Linked DNA regions of Caenorhabditis elegans. The protein of the gene in region 2 purifies or fractionates together with the protein of the main gene of each other region. This does not show direct contact. Each region holds a gene or a part of one and is shown on either strand. Other genes may lie near its edges. The genes, in order: unc-34 and nck-1.

Evidence for each region.
Region 1: the proteins of nck-1 (region 2) and unc-34 purify together in Caenorhabditis elegans (affinity purification with western blotting, with the first as the bait; one study listed by BioGRID). This does not show direct contact.

The regions. Positions count from the first base shown.
Region 1 is NC_003283.11:980,740-985,768, reverse strand, and holds the start of unc-34 (WH1 domain-containing protein), read right to left. Parts: upstream 3,064-5,029; coding exon 3,059-3,063; intron 2,959-3,058; exon of another isoform or gene 2,863-2,958; intron 674-2,862; coding exon 294-673; intron 1-293.
Region 2 is NC_003284.9:4,147,944-4,155,391, forward strand, and holds nck-1 (NCK (Non-Catalytic region of tyrosine Kinase) adaptor protein family), read right to left. Parts: upstream 5,501-7,448; 5' UTR 5,477-5,500; coding exon 5,360-5,476; intron 4,732-5,359; coding exon 4,600-4,731; intron 2,815-4,599; coding exon 2,737-2,814; intron 2,680-2,736; coding exon 2,365-2,679; intron 2,324-2,364; coding exon 2,153-2,323; intron 2,084-2,152; coding exon 1,898-2,083; intron 1,318-1,897; coding exon 1,123-1,317; 3' UTR 710-1,122; downstream 1-709.

The DNA.
Region 1 (5,029 bases), on a different chromosome or scaffold from region 2:
CTTGACAGTTTCGATATTTTTGGGTATTTTTTGTATATTTTTGATGATTTTTTGATAATTTATGGGGTTATTCAAGTAGTGTCGGAAAATTAAAAATTGTAGAAAAATGAGCAAAAAAATTATACGTTTTCTGATGTGTTTCTGATGAAAACTAAACATAAATTTTATACAATGTTATGATGCTTCGTTTTTCCGGAAAATCGATAATTTTTTATTTTCGATTTTTATCTCTGGTTAGGTTTTTTTATATCTTGGGATTTTTGTCGTGTGAAAGCTATATTTGAAAAACGCACGATGCATCTGTTGATAATCACTAATTCCATTCATATCATGAACTTTCAACGTCTCAATCGCCTGTAACACAATGCTTAAAAACATTGTCGCATCCTGTTCATTCTCGAAATTCAGCCCATACACCCGCCGCTGTTCGGTACGCCATTGATGAAACATTGGTGTGGCCTTGTGATATTTGATTCCTCGATAAATATTACAATTCAAGATATTCGTGCTGTCAGCGCGGTTGGATACAATCCGAAACTCGGGTCGCCGAATGTCTTGGATTAGGCGAACATTTGTCATTGAATCATCATTTCCGCCGAGTAGTACCCATCCTTTTGTCGATTCGTTGTAGGTCATCACTCGGGCCATTGCCGTCGCGATACATGCTTCGCTACTGGAAAATTTGAATTTTTTGGTGGGAAAAAATGAAACTAAGTTCTGAGAATGCGTATTACACAACATATTTGACGCGCAAAAAATCTCGTACCGAAAACCACAGTAATTTTTTTAATTACTACTGTAGCGCTTGTGTCGATTTACGGGCTCGAAACTAATTGATTTATCGAACCGAGCTCGTATATCGACACAAAAACTACGCATTCTCCGAATTTCGTGCACATGTAATATGATTGCACTAAAAATCATTTTTTCAAAATATACTTGTTTCAAAAATGACAAGAAAAAGTTGGTTTTTTTTCGGTGGCCGGAAATCGAAAATGTTTGGCAATTCGACTAATATCGAGGTAAAAAGTGTGAAAAAGTAATTTCTATCATCATAGTAAATGCGGTTTTTGTGGAATTGTAACTTTTTTCACTCGCAATTTAATAATATGACATTCTCAGGGAATTTGAGAATATTTTCGATAATTCGAAAGTTGGCGAAATTGAAGAAGGTAAAAAATGAGATTTTTGTCATCTTTTAAAAAAGGTTCGGATCAACTTTTTGCACAAGTTGCGAATTTTGAGCTCTTTCAGATGTAATAGAACCGACCACTTATATATGCGAACCTACTAGATTTTCGAAACTTTAAATAATGGTATCTGATTAAAGGTGGTGTTGCAGACGAAATTTGTTATTGCTTTATTAGACTCAAAATTGTTTGAAAACACCGAATTTTATAATGAAACTTCTCAAAAAAAAGTTATGGCGGCTTGAAAAGTGACCTAAAATTAGTTGAAATTCGAAATTTGACTTGTCACAGCGACTGGAAACTAACTTTTTCGAAATCACCTTCAAATTTTGAGTATGCAATTCAATTATCTTGCATTTTCAACTTCATTTAGGTATAATAAAGTCGGGAGTTTTCCAAAATATTGTTTCCAGCCGCTGCGGCATTTTTCAAATTTCAAATTTCAACTAATTTTAGGTCATTTTTCGAGCGGTCATAACTTTTTTTTTGGAGAAGTTTTCAAGAAGTTTCATTTAAAAAATCGGTGTTTTCAAACAAACATTTGAGTCTAATAAAGCAATAAAAAAAAATCGACTACACCACTTTACAAAAAAAATCCAATCACTCTCTAAATTTCCACTCAATTTTTATTGTTTCTCATTTCATTTAATTTTAGTCTCGTCCCTCTCTCGGAGGTCGAGCCGGACATGATAAGTGGCAGCAATTGGCACGGGCTCTTTTCACTGCTCATCCAGTTCTCTTCCTTCTGCTGGACACTAGGTATTTGTGCAAATAGGAACACACAGCATCACCTCACACACACACAAAAAAAACATTAGAGAGCTTCAGTGTCAACATTACAGTCAGACGCTGTGAATCAGTCAAAAAATGGATTTTTGCTGGGTGGTAGATCGCGGAGACACGGGGGTTCTGGCCTTGCTCATTGAATTTTTCGCGCTACATTGACAATCGTCCGCCGGACAACGCGTGGAAAAGTGTCGTGTACTCCACACGGACAAATACATTTAGCTTTACAACTAAAATCGAGCCGCAACGAGACACGCAACGCGCCGTAAATCTACCCCAGATATGGCCGAGCCAAAATGGCCTAGTTCGGAAAACTCTTCCATTTCAATTTATGAGGGAAGCCAGAAATCCGTGCGGAGAGTAGCGTGAATGAAAATTTCGCTTCAAAAAACCCCAAAATAGTCTCAAACTGAATTCCCTTCAAAATGAGAACAGCGACCAATCAGCGAACCGCTCCGCCCACTTTTGAACCAATCAGAATGCTTGTAGCTACTGATTGGTTAGAAAGTGGGCGGTGCGAATCGCTGATTGGTCGTTGGTTTCATTTTGAAGGGAATTCTGCTAAAAACAGTTTTTTTTCAATTGTCTGCATTCAAAGGAGCATTCCTATTAGGTCCCAGCACGAAAAAATTGGCAAATAAATTTTATAACTCGTGTACTCCCCGAGGAGCATGCAAATTTTTTTCTGAAAAAAAATGCTCCTCTGTGTCGATTTACGGAGCTCGTGTACTCCACGAGGAGAATATCGATTTTTGAAAATTTTTTTTACACTCAATTCGCGATTTTATCAATAACTCATAGTATTTTGTTCAAAATTTTTATAATTTTATGCTGAAAACAACGAAAATACGTGAAAACGATCAAAATTTAGCGAAAATGGTCAAAAATCAAGTATTTTAGCGCCAAAAACTGGCCTAAAACATAAAATTCACACTTTTCCTCGGGAAGTACACGAGCTGCGTAAATCGACACAAGCTCGTGGCCGAACTTTTGCAATTTTTAGGCCAATTTTTTGGTTTTTTTTTTCAATTTTTTTTCAAATTTTCCCATAAAAAGTTCCCCATCTCCATAGTCATTATTACCTCATTCTGGCTCAAAAAAGTGCAATCTAATCTCCTTTTGCTCTTTTTGCTCAAAAAAGTGCACTTTTACGGCAGATTTTGTGTCTTGTCAACAGCAGCAGCAACAGCAATCGGTCAGTGTTTCACGCATTCGAAATGCAACGGCAAAAATTTTGAAGTTTTTTGGTGGAGGTTTGGCTGAAAAATGAGAATGTGAGAAGGGAAAAAACAGAAAAATATGCATTTTTTATGACGAAAAAAAGAACGAGATTTATAGGGAAAAATGTTCGGGGAGGGGAAAAAATCGATTTTTCAGAAAATTGAATTTTCGATTTTCTGGAAAACCTTGGAAAAATCGTTTAAACTTTTTATTAAATTTTGTTCATTTTGATCTCTAAAAAGAGGAAAAAAGAGGAAAATGGACAAATTTGAAGCTATTTTTCGAGAAATCTAGTTTTTTTTTCAAAATTTCAGAAAATCGGAGAAAACATTTGTTAAAGAATTTTTGAATTTTTTTCAAAAAGCGGGAAATTTTTTTTTAGAAAATTTTTAAAAAAATCAATTTAAAAAAAATCGATTTTTAAGATTTTTAGGATAATCGAGAAATTTTTTTTGGAATTATTTGAAAAAAAATCGAAAAATTATCGATTTTTCGTTGGTCGGAATTAATGATTTTTTTCTAGAATTGGGAAAAATTTTGTTTTAAAAAAGTTTTTTTGTATTTTTTTTTTACAGATTTTGCAAATATTTTTTCAGCAAAGTGTGATATCGATTTTTTTAAAAAGAAATTTCTGAAAATCGAAAAAATATATTTTTTGAACAATTTTTTTTCAAAAATTGAGAAATTTTGGTTTTTTCAAACACTTTTTGACACCTAAAAATCCGTAAAAAATTATTTTCAAAATTTGGTAAAATTTTTGAAAAAAAAAGTGCTGTTTTTGCTTTGAGCTCAAAAGTGTGCAATGAATCAAAAATTACTTTTTTGATTCAAATTTTTGGTATTTTTGTAGGTTTTTTTCATTAAAAAAATATTGCCCATCAATGGAAAACATTGTAAAAATTTGCCAAATTCGTTTATAATTGAAAAACTAAATAATTATTTTTGATTGAACTCATGATTTTTGTTTTAATTTTCAAACAAAAAAAACTGTGAAAACCCCGCGAAAAAAATGGAAAATGCTCTAATAACTGTGCAAACAGAAAACACAAAAATATCAAAATTCATTGTCTGTTGTGCCGGCCATCGTTACAGTGAGAAACCCGAGAGAGAGAAAGAGTTTCCGAGTGGGAACAAAAAATGGGGAAGGGGTGAGAGTGACGAAACACAGGCTGATGGAGACCGTTTCCGGAAACGAGTTGCACGGGGGGGGGATCATGGTTTTTTAAACAACAATAAAAGGTAGTTTCTTAAATTAAAACTTCTAAGGAAATCGCTTCGAGACACAAGAGATTAGATTTCGAATTGTCATAAAAAAGTGAATGACTCATTGTCGTCGTCGTCTCACTTTCTGTATGACGAACAAAGTGCAAACATGCAGTGTGTTCAATATACATTTGCGTGGGCAATATATTTATTCAAATTTTTAAGTTTGAAAAAAACACTGTAGTTTAAAGGCGCACGAAGACACGAAATGGCCGAAAAAGCCCAGGAAGTTTTGAGTTGAAAACCCCTATAATTTCGTTTTTCAGCTATGTAGAAAAATGTTTTGATTTTTCAAAAAGTATCTTAAAATTTTTGTTTTTTTGTTTTTTCATCGACATGAACAAAAATTCAATTTGTTGAAAAAATTCAATTTTCTGAACTTTTTTTTTCCGATTTCTTGATTTCCCCCCCCCCCCCCCCCCCCCCCCTGAAACAAAAAACGATACATCGAAAAATGGCCCCATTAGTCTGAAACTGAGAATGCGTATTGTACAACACATTTTACGCGAAAATCGTGTTGTCACGTGGTGTCAGAGTGTCTCATTTCGGTGTGATCTACGTAGATCTAC
Region 2 (7,448 bases):
ACTTTTTGCCTTATGTTATAAAAAAGAAAATCTCAATTTGAGAATATTCTAAAAAAAATGTTCAGTTAGAGATAATACCAATACTTGAATTTTGAGTTAAAACTGTCGAATTGCCATATTTGCCGAACATCTAAAAAACGCTACCAACTATAAATATAAAACATTATAAAATTAATAATATAAACAATAAAACTACCACCTATTAATTTTCAATTTTTTTTGCCGATTAACAAATTAGCTTGTTTGCAAATTTACAAGTTTGCTACCACAAAATAATTTGAGATGAATTGCCAGTTTACAATTAAAACCACAATCAAATAAAAGTTATTAACCTTGTTTTCAAAAATTTAAACCGCTAGAAAAATGTTGGTAAATTTGTTTAAAAGTTTTATTTCAAAATGTGTTAATTAAAATTTTGGCAAATTTAAGAAATGTAAAGCATTTCCACAGTTTCAGACCGCTACAAAGTAAAAAATTGTTAAAAGCTTTTTTGGTCAATTTTTTAAATTATAATTGGCAAAAAAACTCCAATTTTGAATTTATGATAAATTTAAAATTTTAACAACAAAAATGTGAAGAATTTCGGATACTCTAAAAAATATTTATAAAAACCTTCAATAATGTCATGTTTCATTTCACATCCGGAAATCGCGTTGTACAAAAATTGAAACCTGAAAAATTGTAACAATTAAAAAAATCTGAAATATGCCCACTTGAAAATTCATTTACAGTTATCACATATGGCAATTGGAATTGAAAATAATATTCTGAAACAACGCAGCGTTGTGAAGTGGAGCAAAAGACAATTGAAGAAGAGATGAATGGAAAGTGTGAGTTAAGGACAATTATTTGATAAAATTACAAACTTGAATGAAAAGAAAAAGAACCAAAGAAAAAATGAGAAATATATCTGAAACCGTGATCAACCGTTCAATTTATCAAAAACGGCGGATGGCAAATCAGTAAACATATCTAAACACAGGGCTAGTGATAGAAATGACGAAAGAGATTTTCACTTGCTTTGTCCAGAAAAAAAATGGATTGCTGCAAAGAAGACAAGAAAACAACAATTGTTAAGAATGAGCTTATAAGAATATTGCATTGAAATTTTGAACAAGTAGTTTACTTGGGAAGAGGACCGGTCAAAAACAGCTTCTCCGTTGGCGACGAGAAAATTGGGCTGGTTGTGTAGTGATTGATAAGAGCATTCATGTCCACAAACGTTCGGTTTCCAATTTTCAGGAGACCATCCACGTTTTGCACTTTGAAATGCTTGTTGCGTTCGATTCCGCGCATTGAGATCGACAAGTCTCCAGGCTGAAAAAAATTGAATTTAATATTAAATGGTTGAAAATATCCATTTTTGGTATTGTCTTCCTAGCAATATTCAAATGGGATACTGTCAATGAAGATTGATTTTAATTTAGATTGTATTCTGATCAGAATGAAAGCGTATTAACTGTAATATATAGTTTGGAGTGAAAATGTTCAAATCAAACGCTAGAACGTTTTTTTTTCCTTTGCGGTCCTTGATTTTGGTAATTAATTTCGTAGTATCTCGGTCATTTGCTGCCATTTTTAAACTAATTGTAGCCTCTTGCCAGCCTTCATTCTTTTGGATTTTTTTTGCACTAAGTTTAAAATAAAACTAAATTTAACAACTTCTTAAACAACTTGAATCTCCTTATTCGTCGATTTTAGTTTTAAAACCAATATTAGCAACTTTGTGACTATACTTCACCAACTTTGGCAACTGTTTGAACAACTTTAGTATCCCACAACTTCTCAACCAACTTTTGCAACTTCTGAAATTGGCATTTCTAAAGTTGCTAGGAATGGTTGAAAGCTTGCGACTATTTGGAAAGACACCGTTTGAAAAATTCCAAAAAATGCTCACATTGCTCTCCGAATCTCTGACCAGAAACTCTCCCTCACGACCATGTAGTAGAAGATCTTCAGCACGTTCCCTCGAGATGCGTCCAAAATACCACGGCTGTTGCTCCATCGGAATTTCTCCGTTTCCTGAATATTGCGGTGCGAAATCTTGATGTGAAGCTTTGCTGGATGATGAGTCGTTGACCACCTGAAATGTTCTAATTGTTTCAGATTCGGGCAATTTTTCTCGGAATTTTTAGGCGATTAAATGCACTACCTCAATGTAATTTCTTGGCACAAGCCCTGTGGTTCCACTGGCGTTGCGCGCCATCCACCAATCGGGGTCATGTTCTGGATGATCCACGATTTCGAGCCGTTCTCCTTTTTTGAACGATAGTTCTTCAGATGATGATGCGTCGAACGAGTACAATGCAACGACGACCTGAATCTATGAAAATGATTATTAAATTGCATTGGGGTAAATCCTACTTCAAATGAAGACCGTGACGCCTGGAGCTTCGGCGGTGGTGCTTGCATCATTATGGGCGCTGGAACTGCTGCAGCTGCTGGGTTTCGGTTCTCAATGCTTCCCTGATTTCCGTTTGTCGAAGCTTCAACTTCCTCCACATAGTTTGACGGGAACCATCCGACTCCTCCATTCGGTGCTTCTCCCTTCCACCACCCATCTGTGCTTTTCTCGACGACATAAACGAAATCTCCTTTTGTGAGACCGAGCTCATCTTCAAGTCTTGGCTCGTAAGTGAATTTCACCACAGCTTTCGTTTTCGAGCTCATCATAGGAATCTGAAGAAAAAAACGTTGGCGGATTAAAATAAGTTATGATTGAAAAGCCTGTCAAACCTTATTGGATGATGGTGTCACCGCACAGTTGTTATTCAAGCTGAACGCTAGACGCGCGATGCCGTTTAATCGCTCCTCCTGAAAAATCAATTTCAACAACAAAAAAAGTACTAAAATTAGAGATTTTCGCTTAAATTGAGCTTTTTTTCAAAATTTTGAAGCGCCATAGAAATTTTAAAACCATTTTTCTCATTACGAAATTTGTTCATCTGGAGTCTAAAAAATTTCAATTTTCCAAAATTTCCAAAAAAATAAAATTTTCACTTTAAATAAATTGACTTTATAAAAAATGTAGAGTTCTAACACAAAAGAAATAGTGTATCGTTATGTGAAATCTCTTTTTTTTTTGGCTTACATTAGAAAATATACTATCCTAATCAAAAAGCCTCAAAATTCAAAAATAAAATTTTCACTTCAAATAAATTTATTTAAAAAAAATGTAGGGCTCTAACACAAGTATTAAGTTCGGCAAGTTAGAGGGACGACGCAGATGTTTATTGCAAGGAGGTCTTATGGCACGAGAAAAATCGATAAGGAAGTGCTCTTCCCGCCTAGAAAGCTCACAGTTTAATTAGAAACGTGATCTTAAACGGCGAAAAAAAAAACAAATTTGATGAAGCCGGAAATTCCAAGTTTTTTTTTGGAGGCGCTACGTGGCCAGTAGCAGCAGCACAGACTCAACCCGCTACCTTCAGTCAGAAATGCAAACAAAGTGAGCGGTTGAGCTCGTAGGCAATGTGCATGCAGCGCCCCACACATCGAAACACGATTTTGGTTAGGGGGTGAAGAGCGGGAGGGGCCCTCAGGCGATTGAAACGTATCGTCAAGACGGAAAAACATAGGAAGCGTTGAAATTTCGCGCGCTCTTGTATACCGAGACTGTCTCATTTGCGCCGAATACATTGTCGCGGGAGAGCCGTATGTATGTGTGTGTGTGTGATAACAGGGCAATGATAGTATGCGCCGCTTGCACACACATGCAAATATTAACGGTTTCGGTCATTTATTACGGAGTTTTTGCCTCACAAAGTTCAGCATATTTCGATTCGAAAATATGATTCGAAAAATTGAGCGTGCCGTTTTGATATTGAGAAGAAGAAAAGCAAAAAAAGTATTTTATGTGGAGGAAGGAAAACGCAAAAAACAGACGAACCTGTCAAAACGGCGAGGAGAACGGGAGAACGCGCGGCGAGGTCTTTTTGGACGGTCTCGAGCAATCAATAATCCTGGGAAAACAGGGGAAGAAGAGTTTGTTAGTTCAGACGATGCGCAGTATCTTACGCGCAAAACACTCAATTAGTTATTGTGGTGATGACAAAATCATTTTTTACTAGAATTTGGGCTATTATATCAATTTTTAATGGAAGCTACAATATTTAAAATAATTAACTTTAAATTTGTAAATGCTATTAGTTAGTTTCATAAAAATTGCAATAAAAAAACCGACAACGAGAAATATTCCTGCCCCAATATGACAAATCATTCTAGAAACTTTTATGGCATTACAAACGGAGCAAAAAATCGATTTTGTTTGCTGTATGATAAGGAAACAAAACTGGAATGTTCTGGGAAGAAAGTTAGTATATCAAAACTAGTTTTAATGTACCTTAAAATTAAAAGAAATAAAGTATCTGTTGGCAATTCTAATTAGAAGTTAATTCAAACTGTTGCTTTCGGCTGGAAGCGCTTGTGTAAATACAAATCTTCCACGTGAAGACTGGTTTTGGCATTTGGAAACAAAAAAAAACTGAGAGTGCGACATTACAGTCGATTATGTTTCGTTTAGTTGTGGCGGCAGTTTGGCGCTTTTTTTGGAAGTGAGATGGGTTTTTGTAACAAAAAAAAACAAAACGAAACACTCACCGGCTCCGGATCTGAGGATCGGTTGCGACCTCGCGCTAAGCCCTTGATTGTTCCTTTTGCTTTGTCCACAATTGATTCTTTTCGCACGTAGTTTGAAGGCACAAATCCAACACTGTTTGAATCGTTCATTACCTGAAGAAAACGGTTTTGATCCGAGGGAAAACAACGTTAAGTGGCTCAATTTATTTTTAAAAAAATTAAGGTTTGTAGAACACTTTTTGATTAGTAGTTTTGCTAATTGGTACCAGGATTTTTTTTTGAGATGTGGAGCAATGTCAGTGCAAGCTTTGTTTAAATGTTGCTAAAATGACCAACAATCATAATGAAACTCTTCAGAATTGTTTTTTGAAATATTTTAATGTGCAGTCAATGTGCAAAATATGGTCGACCAAAACGTTGACTGAAAATTTTGAAAAAATTATAAATTTTTCTGGATGTTTAATGAAAAGAGAAAATTGTAAATTTATATATGATGCTAAAATAACCAAATATTATAGAAAACTGTTCAAAAAATTTTGGAACATTTTTATTTCGAGTCAAAAAGTGGTGAGAACTTACTAATATGTAGATTTCCCCAAAAAGTCGTTGATTAAAATAAATTTCTCTTATTTTAATGTTCTAATTATGCTTAAAACATTAAAATTTCAATATAGCAGGGAATTGAACATGCGACAGTGTTTTAGAGTTCTCGAAAAGTGGATCAAACTGTTTTCACATTTAACCATTAGTTTCAGTATGTTTTCCGTCAATAAAAACTCACTTTCCACCAGTTTTTGCTATCATCTAACAGCTTTAACCGTTCGTTCTTTTTTATCGTCAACTCCTGTTCCTCTTGTGCTAAATAATCGTATTTGACGACCACATAGTCCTCCGACATTTCAAATGTCCGATGTAATACACCCTGTAAAGTGGTTTGGTGAGAAAAATTGCGAATCCATAGCAAAAAACCGAGGAGAACAAGTGGGAAAATGAAATGAATAGGGGATGGATACGCAACTCGTAATTGACGTCGTCTATTCTACCTCCTCACTACACCTACACCTGATAAAATCAACATTAGTGAGCGGAAAAAAGAAAAAGAAGGCGCACTGACGACGTACGCCACATTTTTCTAGGATATATCGGTCAATGTCAATCTGTTCAGAAGTCAGTTAGGCTGTTGGATGTTGGTAGGTCAAAGCGTGTCATGAACGGGTTCCGGAAAGTTTTTTTATTGATTCGAAAGTTATGAAAAATATTAAACTTATAGTTAGTATCAAAAATCTTTTTTTTTTCAGATTAGCACACAGCCGTATCAAGTATGACAAAAAAAGAAGAATGAAAAAGGTGAGATGTGAATAATAAGTAGCATAACGCGGGCAGCATTGCCTATTCAATAATACTATTTTATGGAGTTAGCAAACACATGAATATAGTCATAAAAAGTTGGCGAGGTAAGCAGGATTTTGTTAGAAGGCGTCAAGCGAGAAAATAACTGCAGTAGTTGGGCAGATGTACTTATGAGTCAGGATGCCTTTGAATTTTTCAGCAAGACGGGTGCACTTTCGAATGGCTCAATGGGAAAATGGAAATAATTCAGATGCCTGGCTTTGGCATATAATTACTTCCAGCCAAAGTACCAATAGGAAACCCCACATTTCCTCTGAAAGTGCAAAATCAGGTTTCAGGCAAATTTTATTTGCGCCTGTAAGCATTTCCAAATGGGGAAAATCACGCAAATGGGGAAAGTTTTAGTTAGGATTGTAAGGCCTTTATTGAAAATATATTGATACTTCTGGATTTAATGTTACCCCCAAAAGTGCTAAAGTTAAGTTGTTATATATTTTTCAGACCTCTTTTTCCTACAAATCTAGAATAACTTTTTTCAAGCTCTGGAAATATGATGAAAGTTTTAATTTGAAATTAATTTTTTTAGGGTCTCCTACAAACTTATATACTTATATACCGTTTTTAATTTAAATTTTGATTTTTTGATACTTGGTTGAATTATATTATAAAAGAAAATGCCTTATAATATACCTGCTTGTCGAAAAAGAATACCCATCGTAGTTCAATATGGCCTAGAATTTTTAGAATTTTTAAAATTTCAGTCAACACATTAAACTGCCACACTTAGAAAAAGAACAACAGGAGCGTTTGAATACATTTCTTACTGACGAGACTCCAAATTGTATTAAATTCCACAATTAAGTAATTTTAGAAATACAGATTTTCATATTAAAATTTTAATTTTTTGGAATTTTCCTTTTCAAACCAGAAACGTAATTGACTATGCTCCATTTTGCAAAAGAAGAAAAGAAGAAAAAAAGAAACAAAAAGCAGAGGAAAAACAACCGACAATTGTAGGCAACAATTGTTGGAAGAGCCCCATCGTTTTCTTCGTAGCACACACACACACACACACACACACACACACACACATTTTCGGACAGGACAAGAGTCAATGACAAATGATGGGAATTTTCGGTTTTGAATGGGGGCCAACAGGGGCCGAAATAATGCATTGGAATGCGGAGAAAAGAGAGAAAAGATTGAAGACGGATTGCCAAAATAATGTGCGGAAAATTTGCGAATCTGGCTCAAATCTCAGACTGGAACGACGAGATGGTTTGTGGGGGGATAGATGAAGGATTTACTTGGGAATTGAAAATAACAACAAGATGATCCTTTAAGGGACACTTAGCAATCTGGTCATCGGAGAATAAATATCTAGGGGGGCCCCCCGTCACCAACCAGCGCGGGTATTAGCAGCAGCTGAAGACGAAGAAAAGTAGAAGAAGTGGACGGAGGGACACAACAACAATAACAACGTTCAACCATTACCAATTATTCTGTCTTTTCTCTCACTT